2 linked regions of the Elephas maximus indicus genome follow. The protein of the gene in region 2 purifies or fractionates together with the protein of the main gene of each other region. This does not show direct contact. Links are inferred from orthologs where the notes say so. Each region holds a gene or a part of one and is shown on either strand. Other genes may lie near its edges.

Region 1 (3,746 bases), on a different chromosome or scaffold from region 2:
CCTCTGGCTTCATTGGTGAAGCTCCATGGCAGGGCCAGGAATAGGGTGACGAGAGTGAGGCACTCACTTCAACACAAAATTTAAGGGGGGGGTGGCGAGCCAAAACAACTCGGTAATCAAGATAGATAATTTTTAATGCAGTATTAAAAAATTTTTTTTTTTATTTTAAAGAATGAAAATTAATGCAGAACATTCGGGAATGGTTAAGGGTGATGAACAACATGATGGACATGTTTAACGGCACTGAACTGTACATGTGAAGAATGATGAAACGGCAAATGTTTTCTTACCTGTATACTTACCACAGTAATAAATGAATGCAAAAAATCCACGATTGAACATACTATCAAAATTGCAAATAAAGACAGGATCTGACCCTGCACTTGCATGTCCCTGCCTCACTTGCCTCCAATTAAGCTTTATTTTTAAAAAAGCAGGTGATTGGCCCACCGGCCATAGATTGCTTATTGGAATTTTTTTTTAATATTGCTTTAAAATACTATTTGTTGCGATTACTGAGTTTTTTGGCGCCCTCTTAAGTATTGTGTCTGAGACGAGTCCCTCACTCCCCTCACCCTGGTCTTGGCCCTGCTCCAGGGGGGTTTGTCCAAGCACACGTGATCTCACCCTTTTTCCCCCCTTGAAGGGCCCGCCCCCTTCAGGCTCCAGCGCCCAGATCCTGGGTATTCCCTGGGCCCGCCCCGTCCTTCTGCCGGACCAGGTGCTGTGGCGGCCCAGAGCCGCGGGGAGAGCGGCGCCCTGGCGGGTCCCAGAGGTTCGGCCCTCCGCGCCCTGAGCCAATCAGCGGTGCTGCCGCCCCGAGCGCCGCGGCTCAGCTCCCGCTCGGGGCCCGCCCCCAACGCCGGCCGCCTTGGCGCCGGCTCTCCGTATATAAATCAGCCATTTGCTCTGCTCCGCCCCAAAGCCCCGGAGTCAAAGCCGGTTTGTGTCCCATTGCTGCTGTCGCCTGCCTTCTTTTTTTTCAACATGACAGATGCCGCTGTGTCCTTCGCGAAGGACTTCCTGGCAGGTGGAGTGGCTGCGGCCATCTCCAAGACCGCGGTAGCGCCCATCGAACGGGTCAAGCTCCTGCTGCAGGTAAGTCCAGGGGTCGCGAGCCCAACCAGGAAGTGGGGAGGGGTCGCGCACAAAGCCAGGGTCCCCAGGGGCGAAGGGGAGCCAACTCTAAAACGTGTCCGGGGAAGTGACGGGATGGGGCGGAGATCGCGACAAAGTCGGACCAAACGGCCAACACGAGGGACTTAAAGTTTAGGTGCCTAGGAAGGGCTCGGGATGGAGGGAGGGGAGGAAGGCCAGGCGCTCAGCATCCCGGATGCGGCAAGTTGCGAGCGACTATCTCCCCGGGCTTTGGGGTCAAGGGCGAAGCCTGAATGCAGGCGCGAGAAAGAGGAGCCCCGGGCCTTACGGAGGACCTCAAGGTTGCGGCAAGGAAATAACAGCCCGGGGGAGGCCAAGCCGGCCGGTCCCATGCCCCCCAACGTGGGTGGCGCGCAAACCTTGCCGGGCCGGAAGTCGGTGCCGGGAAGCGCGTGTGCTTCTACAACCTCCCCCGCGCAGCCGCCGCCTCCCGGCCAGCCATCCTACGCCTCGCCATTCTCCGCTCCGGCTCTAGAGGGAGCTCCTGGGTGAAAGTCGGGGTGGCGGCACAGTCGCTTCTAGGAGAGGAGCTGGGGCGGAGCAGGAGGGAGGCAGTGCAGGAGACCTGAGGTATAGGTCATCAAGGTGACCGCACCCTACCTTGGACTCAGTGCCCGTGAACCTGGGTCTGAGGTAATGACCTTTCTCTCAGATAGAAAGGTGACAGTCTTCTTGAGGGTGCCCCCTCTCCACCCAAATGGGTGGAGGCTTAATGCCTGTAAGGGTGCATGTCACCTCTTCCACCTGAGACAGCTTCAGGGCTTAGGAGGGTCCAACCTGTATGATACCCAAGGCTAGACTTGTTGCGGGGGCGCGGGGCGGGGCGGGTAGCTAACCTTAAAGGACATTGATTGAGATGATATCTTCGCCTCCCTTTCAGCTTCTACATGGTTATAAATGTCCCTCTTGGCCCGCTTGTTCTCTCTCAGGTGCAGCATGCCAGCAAGCAAATCACTGCAGATAAGCAGTACAAGGGCATTATCGACTGTGTGGTCCGTATCCCCAAGGAGCAGGGAGTCCTGTCCTTCTGGCGTGGTAACCTGGTCAATGTCATCCGATACTTCCCCACCCAGGCTCTCAACTTTGCCTTCAAAGATAAATATAAGGAGATCTTCCTGGGTGGTGTGGACAAGCGGACCCAGTTTTGGCGCTACTTTGCAGGGAATCTGGCATCAGGTGGTGCTGCTGGGGCCACATCCTTGTGCTTTGTATACCCTCTTGATTTTGCTCGTACCCGTCTAGCAGCTGACGTGGGTAAAGCTGGTGCCGAAAGGGAATTCAAAGGCCTCGGTGACTGCCTGGCTAAGATCTACAAATCTGATGGGATTAAGGGCCTGTACCAAGGATTTAATGTGTCTGTGCAGGGTATTATCATCTACCGAGCTACCTACTTCGGTGTCTATGACACTGCAAAGGGTAAGTTTGCGATGTACTTTGAAGCTGCATTGTTAAGAGACCATTTATAAAAGATTGTTATGCCAGCCTAATTTTCCAGAGATTTTTTTTTTTAATTGCTTAAGAAAGCCAGGGTCATCCAGTGTAGAAATGAGGAAATGTTTGGGGGTTGTGGAAAACCACAACTAAGTAGAACTCTGCTTTTTGGTCAAAGTGTCTCCTTTCCTTTTCTCAGGAATGCTTCCAGATCCCAGGAATACTCACATCATCATCAGCTGGATGATAGCTCAGACCGTCACGTCCGTGGCTGGGTTGACTTCCTACCCATTTGACACTGTTCGTCGCCGCATGATGATGCAGTCAGGGCGCAAAGGAAGTAAGTTCCACCTGAGCAGGAGATAGTCAGAGACGTGGGCATGGGGCAAGCTGTGGCCACAAACTGGCAGTGCCTGACTTTAAAAATGGCAGTCTTTGGATCCTGGGTTGGGACTGATAGCTTCTGTGTCACAGCTGCCTTTGAGTAGGCTGTTAGATGACTGAATGAGAGTGCTTAAATGGTCCTAGAGGTTAAGACCAATGGGTTGTTTGCATATCCCTATTTTCTAGTCACAGCATTAATAGTTGACGATTGCTCACGGGAATGTGTAAATGTTGGGTTTACAAAAATGGACACTAGCTTTTAGGGAGGCAGGGCTCCCTTCTTGTCCTACTGAGTTTTCGGCCTTTCATCTGCCCTCAGTCACCAATTCCATGTTTATTCTTTGCAGCTGATATCATGTACACAGGCACACTTGACTGCTGGAGGAAGATTGCTCGTGATGAAGGCGGCAAAGCTTTTTTCAAGGGCGCATGGTCCAATGTGCTCAGAGGCATGGGTGGTGCTTTTGTGCTTGTCTTGTATGATGAAATCAAGAAGTTCACATAAGTTTATTTCCTACTTTGTTTACCCCTGTGAACAGGCATATTGTGTTATATATAACATATCTTGAACATTCTTGACAGACTGTTGGCTGTCTATCAACAGCAACTATCTGCTGGTTGAAAATGGGAAGCAATAATATTCATCTGACCAGTTTTCTCTTAAAGTCATTTCTGTGTTGATGACGATGGGACTCAGTTCTGTTTTTTATTTCAGTCACTCCTGATAAATAAAAAGTTTGAAGAAATAAAAATATCTGAAATGCAGTTTTTGC
Region 2 (3,746 bases):
TCTGTGCTACTCCTGCAACTTTGCCAAATAAAACTTTTTTTAAAAAACTGTGTCCAGGGTACCCAGACTCTAAGCCAAGCCCCTGTGCTAACTCGTGCATGACCTTGAATGACTCCCTTCCCCTCTCTGGGCCTCAGTTCTCTAGTCCTGTTGGTTTCTAAGATTCCCTCTGGTTCTGGCAATCAATATCCATGACTCTAAAGACGTTTCCGGAAACCCTGGCGGCGTAGTGAGTAAGAGCTACTGCTGCTAACCCAAAGGTCGGCAGTTCAACTTCACCAGGCGCTCCTTGGAAACTCTATAGGGCAGTTCTACTCTGTCCTATTGGGTCGCTATGAGTCGGAATCGACTCGATGGCAGTGGGTTTCTTTTGGGGAATTTCGAAGACGTTTTCGGACGGGGCTTCGGAAAGAAGACGGCATCTCAGCTTCCTTCAAGGTCTCCCACCCACCAGTTGTTTTACGAAGGTACCCGTCCCTCTTCTCTCATCAGCCGTAGACTAGTCCCTGCCCTGCCCAGTCCGGTCACCAGCTGCTGGCACAGCCGTTTTATCCTGGGGTTCTAGGGGCGGCCTTCTTCGGATAGGCTCTAGCACCAGTTCAGGATAGGCATGTGCCCCAGGAACTACAACCCCCAAAAGGCTTTGCGGCAACCTCTCTGCGGTTACGTCCAAAGAGAAAACGCCTTTCTGCGCGGGGCTTCCGCTGCTTGACCTTTTGGGAATCGTAGTCCACCTCCGAAGAGCCGAGGAACCAGGGCAAGGCTGCAAACTACCCTTCCCAGAACTCACAGCGCTCCTCCTCACCAATCAGAGGCACGGATATTGGAAGGGGGCGGGAAAGAGGAGGAGCTGCCGGGCGCATGGGCAGTGTGTGGTTGGGGAATTCATGTGGAGGTCAGAGTGGAAGCAGGTGAGAATGGTGGAACGTGGTACAGGCCTGCTGGGGGTCTCTGCAAATTCCCCTTCCCTTGCATACACTCTTCGGGCGAGCGGGGTGCGTGCGTGGGTCCGCTTCGCAGGGGAAGGGAAAGAGGATGGGTTCGGGACGGGACAGGGGTTCCATAGAGTGAGGGAGGTGTGTATGGGGGCAGGGTGAGGAATAATCCAAAAACTTTTAGAAATGGAATAGCTGAAGGGGAAGGACCAGAAGTTCTGGGCTGCGGGAAGAAAGATTTAAATGCACGGAAAGAGCTCAAATTAGGTTCAAGAGTTGATGTCTAAAAGGGAAGATTTGAGACAGGGGAGCAAACGTTGGGGCGGGGCATCAAAGAACAAAACGAGAAAAAAAGTTAAAAGCTGGAGTAGGTTTTTAGTTAGGTCAACTCTGGTCCCGCCCACCCTACCTCAGCTCCACCCTACCAACACGTAAAGAGCGCTCTTTAGCTGTGAAGCTACTTAGAACCTTTATGCCCAAATCGGTTGTTATCTTGGTTCCAGAATGTCATCCAGCTCTTGCTTCCATAATAACAGTATTCTTAATACATAATGTTGAGAAGCGGTATGATGAGGGGTTAAGCTGTGCCTTCTAGAATTAGACCACCCTGCTCAAATCATGGTTCCACCACTGAATAGCTGTGTGATCTTAGGCTCCTCACCTAATGTGCTCATTTGCTCCACTTTCCTCATCTGTAATCATCTACTTCATTGAATTGTGAGAAATAAATTGCCACAGAACTCTGCCTGGTATAAATATTAGTAGTTATTTTTGTTGGAATCACTGTGTAGCACCTTCTTTGGGTTATTTTTCCAAACTGGAATTGGTTTCACAGAACAAGCCACACGACCTCTCACTCGGGCCTACTTGTCCAGGGAACAGGAGAGTTGTTTAGAATGCAGCGAAAAATTCTCCTTGGTATCAGGCTCGTGCCTTGGTCTTGCTGACTTCATGTTCCCATCATTGAGCCAAGTCCCCTAGACCCCCTTTTCTTTAACTGGTTTCAACTGAAGAAAAAGCACAGGAATTGGTACTGCATTTTTCCAAGCCATGGAGTTATTTATTAAGCACCCCTCAGTGGGAGAGTTAGAGCTCTCAGAAGTGGGAAAATAAATACCCAGGCTGAGAAGTGAATGCTTTGTCTCACAGAGGGCTTTCTCTGGGGGAGCTCCATTGTTTTATTTTGTTTTTACCTCTAGGTCTGAGTGGGCTAAAAGGCAAGATCCAGCAGAAGATATGGCTGCCAAGGTGTTTGAGTCCATCGGCAAGTTTGGCTTGGCCTTAGCCGTTGCAGGAGGTGTGGTGAACTCTGCATTGTATAATGGTGAGGCACTGAAGGATGGTGGGTCAGTGTCTTTTGCCAGAAGATTCCTGTTGACTGGTATAGCCCACATGACTCTTGTGATGGGAACTGTGTTTGTGACAAGAGGGCTTACCTACTGCCATTCCACACCAAGTATTTGCATTGTTATCAGAGCCTGGTGTTCTTTTGGCTGTAGGTTCTTCTGAGACGCATGATTCAAAAAGAGCTACCTGGCCCATTTGGCCCATTTGCTGGCTGGATATTTCCTGCTGTTGTTAAAGTTGCGGCACCACCCTGTATGCTTCAACAGAGTGTCAGGATTTCACTGGCTAGCTGAAATGGAGATAACTTGGTATAACCTTAGACCTATTTGGGTGACCTTGCCCTGAACAGGAGCTTTTGCTCTGCTGAAGTTGGGTAGTTCCAGAGAGAGTATCTTTGGGATGCGTTGTCCAGCTTTTAGCAGTGTGGCAGGGGTTTAAGCTGGCTTTTCGTCCACTTTACATTGTGGCCTTAAGCAAGTCACCTCACCTTTCTAGGTCTCAACTTCTTCATTGGTCAAGCAATGGCAATGAACTAGTTTATCTCTAAGACCCTTTCCAACTCCAACATTCTGTAACTTCCACCATGGAAAGCACGCAACAGGTTGACCTGCCTTGTGTGTGGCTGTATGATGAGAGGAGGATCACTTTCAGAGTGGAGATAAATGGAACGAACTATAGAGTCCAGAGGCAGGAACAGAAAGCAGTTGATCAGAAAAACTTACTTGGTTTATATGGCACGTCTTCATACTATGATCTTTTTGGCCACACCTGCACGACAAGACAGTACCACCATCACTGAACTTCTCTCTAAATCAGCAGGATAGCTCTATAACCCATTACAACCCTTAGAGAAACTGAGGTATTAGAAGAAGTGAAAAAAAAGAACCAGACCTGTTGCCATCGAGTCGATTCCAACTCATAGTGACCCTATAGGACAGAGTAGAACTGCCCCATAGAGTTTCCAGGGAGTGCCTCGTGGATTTGAACTGCTGACCTTTTGGTTAGCAGCCGTAGCACTTAACCACTATGCCAACAAGGTTTCCATTAGAAAGGATTGGAACCTTTTAAATTTTAGGATTCCCATGGTGAGAGTATAGCTTCTGGGACACTGGGTTAAATTGGAGCCAGGATTAAGCATAGTAACAGTAAAGACCTCAGTGAGTTTTTGAAAGAAGGTTAGGAAGTCATTTCTTGAAATACATTGGTGGTGATTTGGGGAGGGGATGGTTAATCAGAAAATCAGCAACCAGTTCTTTCAAGGAGAAAGGACTCTGAGGAACAGATCCTATTACCAAAGTCCTTGGGGAGACACGTGGGACAGGAAGTGAGTACTTAGTTTTGTAGCTATTTAGAGACCTTTAGAGACCAGAAGTGCAGGAAGACAGAGCAGGAGAGGGGAGACTTAATAAATGAACAGAAAGCACCAGGGATCTTTCAAAGACATGATCCTCTTTGGCTAAAGGG

The links. The genes of interacting proteins can lie anywhere in the genome.
Region 1: the proteins of PHB1 (region 2) and SLC25A5 purify together in Homo sapiens (affinity purification with mass spectrometry; 3 studies listed by BioGRID and IntAct, with this or other methods). This does not show direct contact. The link is inferred for Elephas maximus indicus from reciprocal best matches to the Homo sapiens genes PHB1 and SLC25A5.

The regions. Positions count from the first base shown.
Region 1 is NC_064846.1:37,412,570-37,416,315, reverse strand, and holds SLC25A5 (ADP/ATP translocase 2), read left to right. Parts: upstream 1-826; 5' UTR 827-987; coding exon 988-1,098; intron 1,099-2,087; coding exon 2,088-2,574; intron 2,575-2,788; coding exon 2,789-2,929; intron 2,930-3,320; coding exon 3,321-3,478; 3' UTR 3,479-3,733; downstream 3,734-3,746.
Region 2 is NC_064837.1:44,182,314-44,186,059, forward strand, and holds the start of PHB1 (prohibitin 1), read left to right. Parts: upstream 1-864; 5' UTR 865-911; intron 912-921; exon of another isoform or gene 922-995; intron 996-2,134; 5' UTR 2,135-2,171; coding exon 2,172-2,259; intron 2,260-3,746.